Linked DNA regions of Xenopus tropicalis. The protein of the gene in region 2 interacts with the protein of the main gene of each other region in a pairwise test. Links are inferred from orthologs where the notes say so. Each region holds a gene or a part of one and is shown on either strand. Other genes may lie near its edges.

Region 1 (6,092 bases), on a different chromosome or scaffold from region 2:
GGCCCAAGCACGAGGCAGCACTGCTCCCTGCATTAAAATAGAATCATAAGGAATCGTGTTGCAATGAAGCAGAAGGTCTCGAGCCTTATAATTCCCAGTGCATTGTTTTGCCTTGGTGTCACTTGTTTTTCCCATAAACATGAAATATTCATAGCTTAGCCTATTGCTAAGTGCAAATAACTTGGAAAGGGCGATCTAATGAAATCTTAATGCATATAATAGTCACTCTGCAGGCAAACCGATGAGCTAACACGGTTCAGTGCCGGCTGTTCCTTTAGATTCTATCAACTTTGCATAATTTACTTTTATTTCTTCTAACTTCAAAATATGCCGAGTATTCTGTTAGTTTGGTCAGTTGGGAAAAACTGTATTTGTTGCAATTAAAATTTTCAAGCTATTTTGTTGATAAATGCAACTATAAATATTGCCATCAGTCTCCACATAGAGATGCTGCCAGCAAGTTTTCACATTTTGTTTTACCATGTATAGACACCATTTTTCAAGTGCAAATTCCTGCCTCTTGGTAAAGGAACTTGGCCGCATCTCTACTTTTATGGCCTACTGTAGCTCTGGTTTTATAACCATCGGCCTGTGTGCCTTGCCCTAAATGTGAACTCTTGGCTCTAAGAGTTGGCAAATAAGAATTTTTGGGTGCCAGAAGGCTTGTAGTTTTGTTCAGCTCTGTGATCTAGGTCTCTCTATTATTTTCAGTTAATTATTAAAACTTCCATTGGCCAGAGATTAATTTGTATATTGTTAATGTACAAATGCAAACCTGAAGCAACCCCCCTTCATAAACTGGTCTTACCTACAGTAATTTATAAGGGGAAATCAGTTTCAGACAGTGGATTTTATCTTTGTGCTTGTCTTCTAATTATCCTTTGGTGTTTCAGCTGCTTGCCTTCTTGCAAGGCCTCTTCACCTTCTATCACCATGGCTATGAACTGGCCAAAGACTTCAGTGACTTTAAAACGCAGCTTTCCATCAGCATTCAGAATGTAAGTAACGTTCGTCCTCCCCTTTATTATCCTTAGTAAACAACTTTCCTCCCAGCCTAAAGATTTATGGTTTCATAGGTATTCATCAAATTTAGGCAAGAATTTAGTAACTGGAAGAGAATTGGGAGTAGTGGGTATGTGTGGCGTTGTGATTGTGTATAGGGAATAGTGTACCTCTGCCATGCACTATAAGGATAATATACAACTTGTTAAACCATTTAAAAGTCCCAGAGCTCTGATGCAAGTTCTGATATTCTTTTAATATGCAGTAGTATGTTTTTTAATATAATTCATAGTTGTATACTTCTGCTTCTAATAACTAAACTGACATTGAGAGAATCAAAATGTAAAAATTAATGATTACCCTCCACAACATAGTAGAATGTAATGTTAAAATAGTATTCCATCTTAGAATTTACATTATGCTGCAGAAAGCAATAATTGCAGTTTGGTCTTCTATTTTTAATCTCAATAGATTTTATTTTGCTTGCCTTTCTATTCTTCTTCCTTCTATTTTTTGCTCAGAACGTTTATGCCTGAAATCCAGTGATCAGATTTTTATTAGGTTAGATCTGCATCATTATAGTTTTTCATTACTTATCTTTGTGTTCAGGCTCTTTCCTACTCACCTTCCTGTCTGCCATTCAAACCACTTCCGAGTTGCTAGGGTGATTGTGGCCCAACAACAGTATAGAATACATAATACGAACTCCAAATTGTCTTAGAATCCCATTGTCTATATCACACTAAAAGTTTATTCTCTGGTGAACTACCCCTGTAAGAAGAAATTTCCTCTTTAATATTCCCACAAGAGTGCCTTGCTTACTACTTTTTGTCAAAAACACTACACATCATGAAACATGTACAACACTTGATACCGCTCTCTAAATGATAGTTTTTGATCCCCAATGATTCGCTATAATGCAAATTTAAAACTACTGAATGAAAAGATGTCCTGCATATCTAACCATGGCTGCTTCTGATTTGTCAGACACGGGACCGTTTTGAAGGCACACGCTCTGAGGTGGAGTCATTGATGAAGAAGATGAAGGAGAACCCCCATGAGCACTTAGCACTCAGCCCATACACTATGGAAGGATACCTCTATGTTCAGGAGAAAAGTGGGTACTTGGGGGGAAAACTAAAAACACCAGTTTTTGTCTTTATTTAAATGTGTTTCTAGAGCATTTCCATGCTTATTATTATTATTATTCATTATATAATATGCCAGTTCCTCTTCACTAGCAAGACTTTCTAGTTCTTGACATCTAGGATACTCACTCCTCCAAGAACTTGGTTGCCCTTTTGGGCCACTTGAGAGTCCCAGTAAGCTCTTTGTGTCTTGTAAGGCTTTGATTGACAACCTCACCTTACTTAGTAGCTCATCAGGTCCCATAGCAACTGCAGCAGCGTCTATTCATTACTACAGGAAAAAGTTAGTGCTGATGCATCATGTCATACAATGTAACTGTAACCTACCTTTGGAAATCCAAGGATTTCATTCTGTGACAGAACTGGCCAGAGTATCTGCGGACAGAGAGCACTTTATTGGTGTTCTGGGAAAAACTTTGCAGCTTTACTTAGCAAGAGGTCACTTATTGGCATCTATTTACTTGAATACTGACATTCTCTTTCGTAGGACCACTCTACACCCTGAGTTCCAATGCTTTTTAGTCTGCAAGTGTGCTGAGTTGAATGTATGGATGTTTTTAGTTTAGGGCCAGAGAAGAACAAAAGGGATGGCTTCACATAAGCTGCTAACTGACTTTAATTGCACACCTATTGTCCGGCCCTCATAAAAGCCTATGCCAATAAAATGCCGGTAATTATGAGGAACATACTTGTTTCATGGATGATTCTAAATGCTAAACTTCATACTTGGGTATTTACAAGACCCAGCACTCCCTGTACTGTAGAATTTTTCAGTCCTAAGTATGATTACCAGCTTTGCCGCAGTTATATGCTGGTGTGTGGATTTCAGTTCCTTTATTCATTATATTTTCAAAAGGCTCTAGGCTTAGTCGAATGCCTTTCAACTGTGTAAACTATAGAGTACCAGTGCATTTATTGAACAAGCCTATATAGCAAGATGCCTTCCTCTAAATTTTATGATTGTATGATCTTTTCATTACAGGGCATTTTGGGACGTCTTGGGTCAAACATTACTGCACTTACCAGCGGGAAACCAAACAAATGACCATGGTACCATTTGACCAGAAGTCTGGAGGAAAAGTGGTAAGTTTTAGGTGACTAATAGTGTCTTCAGAAAATTCAAAAACCTTAGCCTTTCTTTTTAAATTTCTTTGTGGTGCAGTTTAACAATTTATTTCAAGTATGGCCCGGAAGCACAGTGTGTTGCAGTTTCTCTTAGAGAGGTTTTCTCTCTATTGGACTTTCTCTATTGTCTGTCTCTCTCTCTCTCTCTCTCTCTCATTCTTTGTCAATGCATCTGTAAAGAGGGGACAATTGTAATTACATTTACAGACTCACTAAAATGCCAATATGGTTATGTTGGGCATGTAGTTGCCAGTTAAATATCCAAATTTTATATTAAGGATAGTTAATTTCTTATTATTTCTTTTTTTGCCTTATGAATCCAGTGTCACCTGAACACCCATGTACAGCAGACTTATGAAGCAACAAAAAAAGCAAATGGCACTCAGGACTACAAACAAGGGTAAAACCCTTTTAAAAGTTTTATTGCGGAGGTGCAACGTTTCGGGGCAATGTGACCCCTTTATCAACAAAGCATGCTTGATAAAGGGGTCACATTGCCCCGAAACGTTGCACCTCCGCAATAAAACTTTTAAAAGGGTTTTACCCTTGTTTGTAGTCCTGAGTGCCATTTGCTTTTTTTGTTGCTACAGTGTATTTGGAGGGTGCCGATCCCTCTAGCAGTGTGCACAAAAGAATTTTTTGGAGTGTTAGGGTGTGCGGATAAGGTCTCTGTGGTCCAGCAGACTTATGAAGCCACAAAATATTTTCCTTTACCTCCGGCATGCCGTTTTTTTAAGCCAGCCCTCCTTCTGGCACTGTAAGTCCTGTGCATGCATAGTGGGGCAACTAGTATTGTATTGCACAACAAACTGACAGATTGGAGGAAGTAGACATGAGATGATGATTTGATCAATAGAGTTACAGTGCCTCCATATTTGGAGACAAAAGATACATTTTTCGTTCATTTACCCCTCCTCAGTGTAAATTTTTCAGTCAAACAATTTAGATGTGGTTAGTGCACATTCCAGAATTTAATTGAAAGTTATTTGCATACATTTCAGTTTCACCATGCAGAAATTCCAACACTTTTTATACATACTCCCCCTCTTTTCAGGGCACCATAATATTTGGGACAATTGGCTTCACTCAGGTGGGTTGCATTGCTTCATTAGTGCAGGGATAGGACACCTAGGCTTGTTTCTACCATTTGGAGTCTATAGTTTCCATTGAACAACATAAGGTGAAAAGCTGTGCCAGGAAAGTCAAGGAAGCTATTATGAGGCTGAAAAACAAGAATAAATCCATTAGAGATCAGGATTACCAAAATCAACTGTCTGGAATATCGTTAAGAAGAAAGAATGAATGGGTGAGCTCTGTAATCTTCTGATAATTTGAGAATCCTCACTATGGTAAAGAGAAATCCTCAAACGCCTGTCCAACAGTTTAGAAACACTCTGCAGGTGTCTCTTTGGCAGAGACTACTATCTGCCGAAGATGTCATGAACAGAAATACAGAGGCTAAACTGCAAGATGCAAAGCACTAACTAGCCACAAAATTGCCCAGATTACAGTTCGCAAAAAGGTACTTGAAAGAGCCTGCAGAGTCCTGGAAAAAGGTGTTATGGACAGCGGAGAGCAAGATTAACCTGTATCAGAGTAATGGCAAGAGGAACGTGTGGAGATGAAAAAGGAACTGCCCAAGATCCAAAGCATACCATCTTATCTGTTTTACATGATGGTGGTGGGGTTAAGGATTGAGCATGTATGGCTGCAACAGGTGCCGGCAAACTTATCTTCATTGATGATGTAACTGCTGATGGCCGTTGCATAATGAATTCTGAGCTGTATAGAAACATGTTATCTGCTCAAGAGTTCCAGTAAATGCCTCCAAATTTATTGGACGGTGCTTCATCTTAAGGTCCCCATACACTGGCAGATCCGCTCGCTTGGCGATGATCTTCTCCCGATAGCTGCTACTAGCCGTGTATGGGGACCTTTACGATATAATGATCCCAAACATACTGCTTAGGCAACATGGGAGTTTCTCAAAAATGAAAACTGGAAAATACTTGAATGGTCAAGCCAGTCACCTGATCAATCCAATTGACCATGCCTTTCATATGGTGAAGAGGAAATGGACCAGCACAAGCAGGAGTTAAAGGTGGCTACAGTAGAGGCTCAGCCCCTGGTGATGTCTATGAATCGCAGCAGTCATTGCATGTAAGGGATTTGCAAGTACTAAATATCACTGCTTTACTATACCTACCATTACTTTGTCCCACACATTTTGGTGCCCTAAAATGAGGGGGGGCTATGTATAACAAGTATTGTAATTTCTACATGTGAAACTGAAATGTATGCAAATAACTTTAAATTAAAATCTTGAATGTGCACTTTGATCGTGTCTGAATTGTTTGATTTAAAATTTTACACTGAGGAGGCAGAGTGGAAAATCAAAGAAAAATGTGTCTTTGTCCTAAGCATTATGGGGGGGCACTGTACAAAGAGCTGCACTGTACATAGCATACATAGAGCTGCAGTATGTAAGCATTTGTACAGCAGCCCTGTGCAGTATTCTCCATCATTACACAAAAAATGCTGTAGGGTTTTCTTATACTTTAAAGTCTGGCTTTTACCTAGACTTTTCTTAAAACGCGTTAGCAGAGTTTATTAGCAAATCTGCTTTCAACATATCTGTTTCCAGGAAGGGAAATCAAATGAATATTAAGCAGTTTTGCAGGTTGCTATCTCTGGCTTTCATTTTTTTGTGCTTTGAGTTTAAAAATATTTAATTCTATTCTGATGTAAGAATGACATCACTGATTGTGGTTATTTGCATATTTGGCTCCATCTTGGTAGCCGTGCCTATTAATATGT
Region 2 (6,626 bases):
TCTATTGCATCTTACAGCAGCCCCTCTGGCAGTTGCCAGAACCCACAGATTGCCAGTCTGGGCCAGATCCTAACTGCTAAACAGGCAAGTAGGTCGGTATATACTAAACCCTACTAGGGTAAAAACACATGGGGTGATTGTCCTTGTGAAAGGCTGAAAAACTTGTGGCATGTGTTGCTTCCCCTTGACATAAACAGGAATGGCGCAAGTCACCTTGAGATTATTGCAACTGGGCATTTTCAGGGAATAAGCTCTGGTCCGTGCCTGCTGCTATTAATGTGAAGCTGCCCATAGCAAGTAGAGGGCGCTACTAGTAGCAGCTATCAAATCAGCCCATGTGCTCCTGGTCCTTAAGGTGGCTATAAACATTAGGAGAGGTTGCCAAACAAGTGAATCTTCACCGAATATGCCCACCTAAGGTGAGCAATATTGGGCTAATTCGATCGTTTGGCCTTAGGCCAAAACAATCAAATTAAAACGGAAGATATGTGGGCCGTCAGATCGAGGACTTCATCAACAAGCTGATGTGGCACCTGATTTGAGGTGAAAATCAAACCTGCCTGATCGAGATCTGCCCAATTTTAGGCCAGATATCGGTGCGGTAGGACCCAAATCAGCAGCTGAAATCTGCCCGTGTATGTGCACCTTTAGGCATCTCCAAGCACAGGTCTGAGAGCTAGTAATGTATCCGGGTTATCAAATGACTGGTCAGAACTAAAGCATGGAGGCAAACGCTGTCTGACACATGGGGAAACTGGAGTTAAAATGTAAGATACTGGCTACTTGCCCTTTAACTTAAAGATTATGTAATGACTTTTATACATGCTAAATTATTTTGTATCTGGAAATAATATCCTGTTAACCCCATCCCCCCTCTAACAATACTTGTTGAAGAAATATTTGTTTTTACAAAGTGTGAGATATCTGATGGGAACTTCCAATAAGAGATTTGTGTCTCTGCTTTTTTCGTGTAATGGGCTATACAATTTCCCAGGGTTCAAATGAACAGCTCTCTTTGACAGAATTGTTGGAGACAAGTGTTTTGGAAGGGGGTAGGCACAGACTGGGATTGCTGCACTGCTTGAAAACACCATGAAATGTGCCCAAAAATAAGAATAAATATATATATACCTATGAGAAGGACCAGCACACCAGGTCACATCAATATCTTTTTTCCCCCAATACCCTTAATCAGTGCCAAAATGTTAGGCACCCCCCCTCCTCCATGGGCCATTGCTTCTGTTCGCTGAAATCTTTGCCATCTTCTTTGGCTACTTCCTTCTTTGTACTGGTCCGAGTAGAACACACAGAGTAGAGTGGAAAGCTGAGCTTAGCTACCCCCGCTAGTGCAGTTGTAAGTGAACAGTATACTGGCCTGGGGTATCAGGTATAAGATTATAACCACTGGGGGTGCCTAAAACTTAGCCCCACCAACGATTACACCTTACAAACAAGTATAAATTATTTGCCTTCTCTCTTTTTCCAGTCACTGAACCTCAGAAAGCTATTCCTCTGTGTGGCTACTATTTTATTGTTATTTTTTTTACTTCTCTTTCTGCCTGTCCTGTTCTCTTTCATTCGAGATCTGTCAAAATTACAAATTGACCAGTTGTAAATGGTCTTAGAATATCACTGTCTACATCATGAAAGTGAATGTAAAAGGGGGGTATGTGGGGGTCCATATAGCCCCATTTCATCTTGATTGGTGGTCCCTATGGCTTCACGGCAATGTTATACTATTTATAGTATTGTTTGCAAATACAAAATTTTACCAGTGTGTTGTGCCTTATCATAAGCCAATGTAAAAAATCTCACAGCTTGGCCAATTTATTATTACTAATTACTATTCATATATACTTACAGCCAGCAAAAACATTACTGTTACTTTTACAATGAACAATCTGACTTTTTTATCAGCTTCTAGACTCCCCAGTTTAATCTTTTGCCCCTGGGTTTCTTCATTTGGCCTAATTTTGTGTTGAAACAGATTGAAATAAAGCCCCAAACACTGTCAAAGCCCTCTGTCTGTATTTGGCAAGATATACACATTTTGGTCACAAAAAAATTCAAATAAATGCTACATTCAGTTCATTCCGACTTAAGGCGACGGGTGTAATATATAATAGCATTTAGAGAGGGGGTTATTACTTCAATAAAAATGTCCCAATGAAGATATTCATTACCACTGTATATATAGGCTGTGGCCACTGTAAATTAAAATAAGTGTCCCGTGGAGTGTAAGCACAGCCACCACCATTGCACTTCAGCACGACAAATTCACTTACATAATAAAAAAAAAAAACATTCCGAGCATTGTACAAAGCAATGTGCTAATTTGACTGCTAAATAGAATTGGTTTTCAACTTAATAAAGCACATTACGCAGCTTATTATTCCAGTCTTAAAATTATTTAGTGTTTAAAAATATTTCTCTGTTTAAAAAAAATTAAGCCCCATTGTTTAATACTGATCAGTCCGACGCTACACCAGTGCAGGCCTTTAGCTCTTGTCCATGATCTGCAAGACATCATCCATAATCGATGGTCCTAAATCAACATGAAGAGACAAAATAGATCCAGCATGGGCGAGAATGCGTTCTTCCCTCTCTTCTGCAGTGAAACGATTGTTTGCAGACACATCTGTTGAATGAGTCCCCCCTTCTTCACTCAATGTGCTCTTGGGTTTATCATCTAGGTGAAGCCGCGGGGGTTTTGGTGGTGGAGACTGGGGAAGAGATAGAGCCTGTGGTCCCCCAATAGCAGGTAGTGAAATAGCATTCTTCAGCAGAGGTGAGAGAAGATCTGGGTGGCAGGGTGGTGGATTGAGAAGATCCGGATGGGAGGTGGTTGGTGTTGCATCTGGAGAAGAAGTTGAGGATCCAGGCATTGACTGAGGAAGAAGGTGAAACTTCCCTTGTAAGAAGGAAATGTCTCCAAACATATCCCCTTCCCCACTGCCAATGTGAATAGTGTGCCGGAAATCTCCAAGTGGCGGGCTAATCATGTCCGGTGACAGAATGTCTCTCAGCTTTCCTTTACGGGTACTTCTCTTTAGGTATATCGGGGCCTTAGCTGACATCTTTCCAATCTCTTTGCTCTCGAGACTCATGAAATTCCTATTAGAACTTATATCACATTGCATCTGTGGAAATCTACAAGCAGGATGCCTTTATGTAGTACTAATATTATGCGTTGCAGGTGTTTACTTGCTTGGATTAAAGGCAGTGGCTCATAGAGCAAATCTAAAAAATAAAATAAATACAGAAGACAATTAGTGAGAGAAATATATGCCGCCTATGTTGCATATAAAAAAAAATAGTGTGTGTGTATGTATCTATATATGTTTTATGAGAGGAAAAAGATGTTTTTATTTAAAGATAAACTAATGTTTCAGCTACCAATCTTGTCTTTCTTAATGTGAAAACATACACTAAACAAAGCCAGGGAAAGTATGGAGAGTGACGTCATGAAGGCGGCAGTGCAGTGAGACATATGTATGTGGCTGGGTCACTATGCGCACTATGTAGGTGATGCACTTATGTAAGTAGGTACGGAAGTCACACAAACAGGGGAAGAGCAGGAAGAAAACATATAGGGCAATGAGATTGGGGAGAAGGCATTTATTAACTTCTCCCATGTTGTGGTCCAGGAGGCTTTCACTCTATCCCCCATATGTAATAAAGGGCACAACATTTGCCCAAGTGCAGTAACTTATAGCAACCAATAAGATTTTACTTTTTAAACAGGTGATCAGTAAATGCTTTCTGCTGATTGGTAACTACATGTTACTAAACCTGTAGCAAACTTATTACACAACAACCTTACACAATCCTATTGGTGTAGGACACTCCCTGGCCATAAACTTTTGACTTAGTAAAGATACTTGTGCACATAGGAAGAGCTAGTACTGGAACAGGTGCTGGGTGGGAGGAGGTGAAAAAGGCATGTTGTTTTGGGATAATCCACATGTCAGGCAGGTATGGGCTCAATTGTCCTTTTACACACTAACGGGATTCCATTCATACATTAAATTTATATGTTCATATTTTAACACAATTGAATAAGCTGGTAGTTTATTGGGGAGAAAGACTGCTTTGTGCATTTATTAGCTTGTATGGGTAAAGATGGCCATACTTGACAAGATCTCATCGTTGGTCAGCTTTACTGACAGGAAAAATAATGGCAATATAAAAGACATGTTTTAAACAGTTTATATAACCACAGGCAAAAAAATGCACTTGTAGGGTTTTCACCATTTGACCTTAAATTCCTCAGTATCTAAAGAAGCTTCTCTAAAGGTGGGGTCAGTGGCCTGTCAGATTAGATCCTTTGAAATTCTTGGAATGTCAGCTGCAATGAAGGTTCTGTATGAATCCTGCCACACTAGCAGATCTTGCCATGTATGGACAGCATACGTTCATTAAAAAAGCATAGATTTAAAAGTTTATAAAGCATCTGCCAGAATGGACCTAGGTCTCTTTTCACGGAGGTGCAGCCCTTCTACTAGGGAGCCCCACCAGGAAGTCTATATCTTCTCCCTTCAGATATTTTTATGGAGGGCCAATTAATGTTTGTATACAGGCATACAGCTTAAATAATTCACATTGCTGCATTCAATTAAATTCAATACAATGATGTCTCCTTAGGTAATTACTAAAATAACTCACAATGCTGCACTCTACACATTGTGCAACATTTTCAAAAATGTGTGCAATGTATAAAGGTGCAACTCTGTAATTGAAAGGCATTATATTGTGCTATTAGCAAATTATGTATGCAGCCCTTTTAAATACTCAAGGGGCCATATGTGAAACACATAAAATCCAGTATGTTGACAGTTACAAGCTAAGTGCTAAGTTAATGATGCCTTCCTCTGGTTAGGAAGCAGGGGACAATGTAACTGATCTAGCCAAGATAGTCTACTTACTCACTACTTAATTCTGGGGGGCAGATTAATATACAGAGGTCTATGGAGATCTCAGACATAGAGCCATAAAAGCTTTTGGAGGGCTTTATCAGGTCCATAATACCTCCAGTTGGACATCCCTGCTGTAACAGTATGTTGGTGACGACTTTTACATTGTGGCTTCTGGCTTCTATTTATCATTAGGGACATGCAGGCTTGACATTGAGCAGGTACCCAACTAAAGACAATCATACACTGAAAGATCTGCTTATTTGGCAAGGTCGTTAAATGAGCGGATATTTCCCTGATATGCCCAGCACAGGCCAAATGATTGGATCAAATTAATTGGATGCAAGCCACTGGGGCATGGACCACATTAACAAACCAATGCTCTCCTCGTCCCAACTGGATTTTTAAACATGGTTGATTGAAATCTAGCCAATTGTTTCCCAAATATTAGTGGTATGACAAAGAAATTTAAGGGCAAGTGTGGCTGCTTTAGAAACCAGAGGGCAGGTGCTTTGTAGAGACCCTTATAAATTCTCCTGGAAAGGAGCCAGGAGCAACATTCCTGTGACTGTCTAGTACCCAGGATATGTCCAGTCCTGCATAGTAGAGCAGCAAAGGGCCACTTTTACAAAAAGAAAATTTACAAAGGGCAGTCATGTAAAAGTACATGCTGTAACAGGAAAGCTGGTGTTTATTGTTACAACACGCTTATTTAGAGAAAGGGCAAACTGCACTGTTGAACAAATAACTACATAGTGTATTATCAGCTGCCTGACAAGTATAGGTGTGCTCCTAGGCAATAGCATCTCACTTCTGACACTTCTATTAATGTCTGGATGAACTGAATGGAAGACTAAGGCTACTGCCACACGTGGCTGAATCCACCCCTGTTCCCGTTGATGATTATAGGAATGGATTCTCGAACCTGCGGTTATCTACAACCCGAGAATACTCCACATGTGGCGGTAGCCTAAAACATTACATACACTAGTTACACTAGTGGCACCGACAGCAAGCATTTAATTGATAAATATCTGCTAGCGCTAAGATGGTCATATATTTAAAAATCCACCCATGCTCAAGCCAAATTAAGCAGATTAGATTGCAGGCCTGGGGGCCCACAATCTAATCATTCTGCGGGCCTGTGGGGACTGGATGGGAAAAGACAATCAATGCTCCAATGCCGTCCTTGCCCCATGGGATTTTTAAACCTGCCTGACATATATTTGCTCAGCAGTCTGATAACCCACTGACTTGGTCTAGAGAGGCTGAGTATGCAGCTTTTCTTGGCTGTGTATTGGCAGCTTTAGAGAGACTTGAAGACTTAACAGAATGCCATATTTAAAGAACATATCTGCATAATAAAAGAAAACATAATTTCAAGCAACTTTCCAATGTGAATTAACTGAAAAGTTTTAGTGCTTTAAAAGTTATGTGTAAATATAATTGTACTGAAAGCAGCATTTGCTGAACCCCTGGTTTTTACTTTTTAAACAATGTCGCTCCTCCAGCAAGTCAGGTCTCTCAGCCTGCAGCCTTGTGTTACATTCTTTCAAATGTCAGAGCCACATGGGCAAACAACAGAAAAGGACAGGCAAACACTGCTTCTAATAGCAATAATATAAAGAAATAAGTTAAAAACCATAGCAAATTTGTAAGTGAATGTATACTGCAAAGTTGCTTAGAATTATTGTTTCTTTTATTAGGCAAAAC
Region 3 (6,724 bases), on a different chromosome or scaffold from region 2:
ACTATAGCAGCGTGACTGTTACCCCAATGTTTCTATATATCTGTAACCTTGTTATGGGCTAAGGGGGCCCAGCCTGAAGGCCAGTTAGGGGGGATTTGGGGTGAGTGCCTATTTGTGCCCTGGGTACCCCTGGAACTATAGCAGGGTGACTGTTACCCCAATGTTTCTATATATCTGTAACCTTGTTATGGGCTAAGGGGGCCCAGCCTGAAGGCCAGTTAGGGGGGGATTTGGGGTGAGTGCTTATTTGTGCCCTGGGTACCCCTGGAACTATAGTGGGGTGACTGTTACCCCAATGTTTCTATATATCTGTAACCTTGTTATGGGCTAAGGGGGCCCAGCCTGAAGGCCAGTTAGGGGGGGATTTGGGGTGAGTGCTTATTTGTGCCCTGGGTACCCCTGGAACTATAGCGGGGTGACTGTTACCCCAATGTTTCTATATATCTGTAACCTTGTTATGGGCTAAGGGGGCCCAGCCTGAAGGCCAGTTAGGGGGGGATTTGGGGTGAGTGCTTATTTGTGCCCTGGGTACCCCTGGAACTATAGCGGGGTGACTGTTACCCCAATGTTTCTATATATCTGTAACCTTGTTATGGGCTAAGGGGGCCCAGCCTGAAGGCCAGTTAGGGGGAGATTTGGGGTGATTCAGCCTTTTTCAGCAGGATTCTGATTTGGCTGAATCCAAGTGGGGTTCCTTTACTGGATTTATTCTACTTTCAGTGTTCACCTGACGCTTTTCTAATAAAAGGCCCAGCACACAGAGGGGCTCCCAGCTATTAATACCATATTTTGCTGACAGACAAGGAGAGTGGATTCCTCCGGTGAAGCAGCGAGTGTGGGGACCCTGATTAGTGGTGATGAGGGTCTGGTCCCTTTTTTTGGCTCCTGTACGGACAGTAAGCAGCTGCTCGGGAACAGCTGACCATGTTAAGAGCCAAAACAGTTGTTTAGCAGCGGGTCCCGGAGAGTGATTTAAAGTGAGGGATCAGTAGGGGGGGAAACTACTCCTTTTTTGTTTATTCCTGTTATCAGAATCTGTAAATACACGGAACCACTACATTCTTTTGCCTGCTTTTAACCCATTTTATTGAGGGGGGGGGGTTCTAATACATAGCAGTGTTCTGCACTAACAGCTTTTTACTTCATACAAACAATAATACAAGATTTCTATCACATTGGTCTTCTCACAGAATTCATACACAATCTTTTTTTTACTGTTATTAAGATTTCCTGTGCTCGTAAAATTACATATTTTAAAGCTACTGTGGTTTGGTTTTCTCTTCCTGCATTATATCAAGAATAACCAATTAGGGCTCTAAAGATTAAAGTGAGGTTAACGTATTTTGTTCTTCCTGTTATTTTATTATTATGTTTATTATTATCCTTTATTTATATAGTGCCAACATATTCCCCAGCATTGTACTGAGATTATACATCATTCCCATCAGACACTGCCCCAGTGAGCTTACAATCTAAGGTCCCTATCACATTCCCATCAGTCCCTGCCCCAGTGGAGCTTACAGTCTAAGGTCCCTATCCCATTCCCATCAGTCCCTGCCCCAGTGAGCTTACAATCTAAGGTCCCTATCACATTCCCATCAGTCCCTGCCCCAGTGAGCTTACAATCTAAGGTCCCTATCACATTCCCATCAGCCCCTGCCCCAGTGAGCTTACAATCTAAGGTCCCTATCACATTCCCATCAGTCCCTGCCCCAGTGAGCTTACAATCTAAGGTCCCTATCACATTCCCATCAGTCCCTGCCCCAGTGAGCTTACAATCTAAGGTCCCTATCACATTCCCATCAGTCCCTGCCCCAGTGAGCTTACAATCTAAGGTCCCTATCACATTCCCATCAGTCCCTGCCCCAGTGAGCTTACAATCTAAGGTCCCTATCCCATTCCCATCAGTCCCTGCCCCAGTGAGCTTACAATCTAAGGTCCCTATCACATTCCCATCAGTCCCTGCCCCAGTGAGCTTACAATCTAAGGTCCCTATCACATTCCCATCAGTCCCTGCCCCAGTAAGCTTACAATCTAAGGTCCCTATCACATTCCCATCAATCCCTGCCCCAGTGAGCTTACAGTCTAAGGTCTGTTCTTAAACAACCCCTTATATATCAGGCAAACAGTATAAAGCATAAAGGATGCAAAAATGGTCAAAATTTAAAATTAGTTTAATCTTTAATTTAGAGAAGATTTTATATATTCTGATACACCTCCAACCATTTGATCTCACTTTGACGTTACTGACCTGGAATTTCCTACATTTGGGCAAAGTGAGAGAAGTCAGCGATGTCCTACTGCCCATGAATAAGTTCAATACTACTGAACTAATGGGTCTCCACTAATATTTTCCTACGACTAAAATCTCATTACTTCATTACTTAACCCCCACCTAGAGCTTTGGTAGAAACGTTAGGAGGTTTATAAATAAAAAAAAATAGAATGAACTATTACTCACCTGGCTGGAGGAGCCGTTGGCTTTCTCATAGTATATTTGCGCTGGTGAAGAAACAGGAGTCTGGTATAGATCACCGGAAAGCGATTTTGGAGTCAGTGGCACTATATAAACACTATCCATCTGCTCATATGTTGGCAGACTTGTGATTTTGGGTGCTGAGGGCACTTGGTAGATGTTCTGTTGGGACTGTTGCCTTCCAAGGGTGCCGTAGTAGCTCTGGACAGATGGAGTATCATTCTTTATTATAGTAAAGAGCTGAAGGCGGTTGGCGGGGACGAGACCCTGGCGTCCATGAAGGTAACATCGCCACCAACCTTCGCTACCAGGGATGTTTTGATCTAACACGGTTAGGATGTCCCCTTTACGGAAGGTCAGTTCATCTGGGCTGTCGGCTTTGTTGTCAAATTGGGCTCTGGCCAACATGTTCTGCAGAAAAGAAGACATAGTGGAATCAATGAATGGTGAAGCAGGGGTTTTATGTTGTCGCACTGGTAAGGCAACCCATAGCAACCAATCAGCAGTTAGCATTTTGGTCTAGACTACAGAGGATTCACTAGGGCTAAAGGTCTCCACACATGGGCCGATTCTAGCTGCCGTTATCTATCCCTTAGAGCAGCTAAAAGGCCCGTGTATGGGCACTACCAACGGGCCTGTCCGACTGATATCTGGCCTGAAATCGGCCAGATGTCGATTGGGCAGGTTAGAAAATCTAGTCGGATCGGGGACTGCATCGGCTCGTTGATGCGGTCCCCAGACCGACTTTTCCTATTCCCGTCGTTATAATTCAATCGTTTGGCCCCAGGGCCCACCCGTAGGTGGGGATATCGGGAGAAGATCCGCTCGGTTGGTGCCAAGCGAGCGGATCGGCCCGTGTATGGGGACCTTGAGGCATTTGGGTGGTTTTGGAGGGATGTAGTAAGAAATGGCGATGGCCTATAAATAAGTTGGTGGAACTCATGGGCAGATTGGGTGCTATAAATTCTACATGAGGGCTGTGTGCAGCATTTGGGCCTCCATTTGGACAGCCCACAAATTCAAATTCAAAATACCCACAAACACTGCACATTAATGTTTTGGTCACTGTACATGAACATAGGCATCTCTTGCCCAAGTTGGCTCACTACTGGCGTCGGGGACCAAGACACCTTCTGATTAACATCTATTCAGGATACATTCAGAAGATCATGTCGGTTCATAGACATTGTAGGCAGCCAATAGCTCTCCTTCCCACTCACCGCCCCTACGTTATGTGACCCTTGGCTTGTGGGAAAATGCTCAGATCAGGACGACTGGGGGTGAATGGGCCAAAAGTAATATGCACAGATATATGTATTTCACACTTTCCTTATGGCTTGGGAATATTTGCCTTAGTTGCACTACACACACAGAATGCCTGAGAATTTTTTTAATCCACATTTCGCTGAGGAATTTCTCTCATGAGCCACTGACCTTTGCAACATCGGAAATGCAGCTCTTCTTGCCAATAAACATGGCTCGGGGATCCAGAGAAAGCTGCGGTTTCTGACACTTTATTTTAAAGGGCTATTACTACAATGTAGGGCTCACGTAAAAAAAACATAGGTCTACAGAAATCAAGCTCTACCCTGAATTTCCAACTGAACTGCCCCTGCACATTTGGAGCTGGTACTGGGGCTCTTGGCCAATTACATTACAGTCAATGGGAAATTGCCCCATATGCTTTCAGACTAAAGGTCCCCATACACGGGCAGATTGTAGCTGCCAATATGGGTCCCTTATCTGCCAGATCTCGATCGGCCAGGTTAGAAAATTCAGTCGGATCGGGGACCGCATTGGCTCGTTGATACGGCCCCCAAACCGACTGCCCCTTGCCACCCGTAGGTGGGGATATCGGGTGCAGATCCGCTCGCTTCGTGATCTCGTCAAGCGAGCGGATCTCAGCGTGTATGGGGACCTTAAAGGTGGGCAAACTCTATAAGATCCACCAAATGAATGGAGAGGGTCTGTGCGTGGATTTTAACCGGATATTAGGTGGGCGGGCCATCAAAAGTTAACTTTTAGTATGTTATAGAATGGCTAATTCTTGGCAACTTTTCAATTGGTCTTCATTATTTATTTTTTATAGTTTCTGAATTATTTGCTCTTCCAGGTTTCAAATGGGGGGGTCACTGAACCAAAAAAACTATTGCTCTTAGATGCTACATTTACTGTTATTGTTACTTTTTATTACTTATCTTTCTATCCAGGCCCTCTCCTATGTACATTCCAGTTTATCATTCAAACCACTGCCTGGTTGCTAGGGTAATTTGGACCCTAGCAACCAGATAGCTGTTCCAAACTGGAAAGACGATGAACAAAAAGCAGAACAGTCCTATTGGGTTTATTTAATGGTTAAATGATTCCCTTTTCTCTGTAATAATAAAACAGTACCTGTACTTGATCCCAACTAAGATATAATTACCCCTTATTGGGGGCAGAACAGCCCTATTGGGTTTATTTAATGTTTAAATTATTCCCTTTTCTCTGTAATAATAAAACAGTACCTGTACTTGATCCCAACTAAGATATAATTACCCCTTATTGGGGGCAGAACAGCCCTATTGGGTTTACTTAATGGTTAAATGATTCCCTTTTCTCTGTAATAATAAAACAGTACCTGTACTTGATCCCAACTAAGATATAATTACCCCTTATTGGGGCAGAACAGCCCTATTGGGTTTATTTCATGGTTAAATGATTCCCTTTTCTCTGTAATAATAAAACAGTACCTGTACTTGATCCCAACTAAGATATAATTACCCCTTATTGGGGCAGAACAGCCCTATTGGGTTTATTTAATGGTTAAATGATTCCCTTGTCTCTGTAATAATAAAACAGTACCTGTACTTGATCCCAACTAAGATATAATTACCCCTTATTGGGGCAGAACAGCCCTATTGGGTTTATTTAATGGTTAAATGATTCCCTTGTCTCTGTAATAATAAAACAGTACCTGTACTTGATCCCAACTAAGATATAATTACCCCTTATTGGGGGCAGAACAGCCCTATTGGGTTTATTTAATGGTTAAATGATTCCCTTTTCTCTGTAATAATAAAACAGTACCTGTACTTTATCCCAACTAAGATATAATTACCCCTTATTGGGGGCAGAACAATCCTGTTGGGTTTAATTAACGTTTTATTGATTTTTTAGCAGACTTAAGGTATGGCGATCCAAATTACGGAAAGACTCCTTATCCGGAATACCCTTGGTCCCAAGCATTCTGGATAATGGGTCCTATACCTGTATATGAAATTGTAATTTAAGCAATGGAATGTGTGCTATATATACATTTTGTTCCCAAACGCATCCTCAATGAATTTGAGCAGAGATCCACGGGAGCTGGGTAAATATTTATGTTTAGATTTTTAAGCCCAACAGGCAGATAAGGGGTTAATGCACGTGTGCAGAGTGGCTCAGCCCAAACTAACCCCCCCCGCCAAAGAAATTGCAAGTTGTTTTTAAATACCCCAATGGGTAACCCAAAACCTCCATATTTTTATCTATAGCATTTGCTATGAAGAGCAGCTGGTTTAAAGGGAAAACCAGAATATCATCTCAGCTGATAGCATGGCCTGTTCCTGGTAATGCAGCCGGGGCCGAGGAGTGGGGTTTAAACAATAGGCCTTTTATATAGGCATGAATCCTTCAGCGAGTCCCCGGACCCACAGCTGTCGCTCAGCGCACACAGACAGCAACACTGCGCTCTAACCCCGTGCCCGTCCTCTTGTTTCACTTTGTTTACTTGTCCGACGTTCGGCCCACAGTCCCTAAGGAGCCCAATATCTATACAATGTATTAATAGCTTTTTTTCAAAGACATTAAAGGGAAATTTACATCAAAAATCAAATCACTGGTGTTGCTTGTGAAGGGGGCAACGAGTATCATCCAAAATATTTATGCCAATAACTTTTTCTTGGTAACAAGATAATAAAATGTTACTCATATGTAGTTGGTAGAATATACTGTTTTAAGTTGCTATTGACTGGGGGCAATAAACGTAAGAAAAGATGGTGGTAATTGGAAGAGACATAGGTGATAGGGTATTGATTTGGCAGGAGATGGATGCCCCAGTTACACAGTATTTTGGTTCCCATGGCCAATGGAAGAGAGATCAGTAAATGTGAGAGTGTAGGGGTTGTTTGGGCAGGAGATACAGTGAGGATGCCCCAGTTACACAATATTTTGGTTCCCATGGCCAATGGAAGAGACATCAGTAAATGTGAGAGTGTAGGGGTTGTT

What was found.
Region 1: the proteins of cdc42ep2 (region 2) and arhgap26 interact in binary tests that used the Homo sapiens proteins (3 or more experiments, as listed by UniProt). The two-hybrid records come from large-scale screens. The link is inferred for Xenopus tropicalis from reciprocal best matches to the Homo sapiens genes CDC42EP2 and ARHGAP26.
Region 3: the proteins of cdc42ep2 (region 2) and cass4 interact in binary tests that used the Homo sapiens proteins (3 or more experiments, as listed by UniProt). The link is inferred for Xenopus tropicalis from reciprocal best matches to the Homo sapiens genes CDC42EP2 and CASS4.

Annotation. Positions count from the first base shown.
Region 1 is NC_030679.2:38,202,409-38,208,500, forward strand, and holds part of arhgap26 (rho GTPase-activating protein 26), read left to right. Parts: intron 1-893; coding exon 894-998; intron 999-1,989; coding exon 1,990-2,119; intron 2,120-3,132; coding exon 3,133-3,233; intron 3,234-6,092. UniProt on the Homo sapiens protein: GTPase-activating protein for RHOA and CDC42. Facilitates mitochondrial quality control by promoting Parkin-mediated recruitment of autophagosomes to damaged mitochondria.
Region 2 is NC_030680.2:31,702,433-31,709,058, reverse strand, and holds the end of cdc42ep2 (cdc42 effector protein 2), read right to left. Parts: intron 3,241-6,626; 5' UTR 3,141-3,240; coding exon 2,499-3,140; 3' UTR 2,007-2,498; downstream 1-2,006. UniProt on the Homo sapiens protein: Probably involved in the organization of the actin cytoskeleton. May act downstream of CDC42 to induce actin filament assembly leading to cell shape changes. Induces pseudopodia formation in fibroblasts in a CDC42-dependent manner.
Region 3 is NC_030686.2:6,036,689-6,043,412, forward strand, and holds the start of cass4 (cas scaffolding protein family member 4), read right to left. Parts: upstream 4,167-6,724; 5' UTR 3,953-4,166; coding exon 3,911-3,952; intron 2,888-3,910; coding exon 2,462-2,887; intron 1-2,461. UniProt on the Homo sapiens protein: Docking protein that plays a role in tyrosine kinase-based signaling related to cell adhesion and cell spreading. Regulates PTK2/FAK1 activity, focal adhesion integrity, and cell spreading.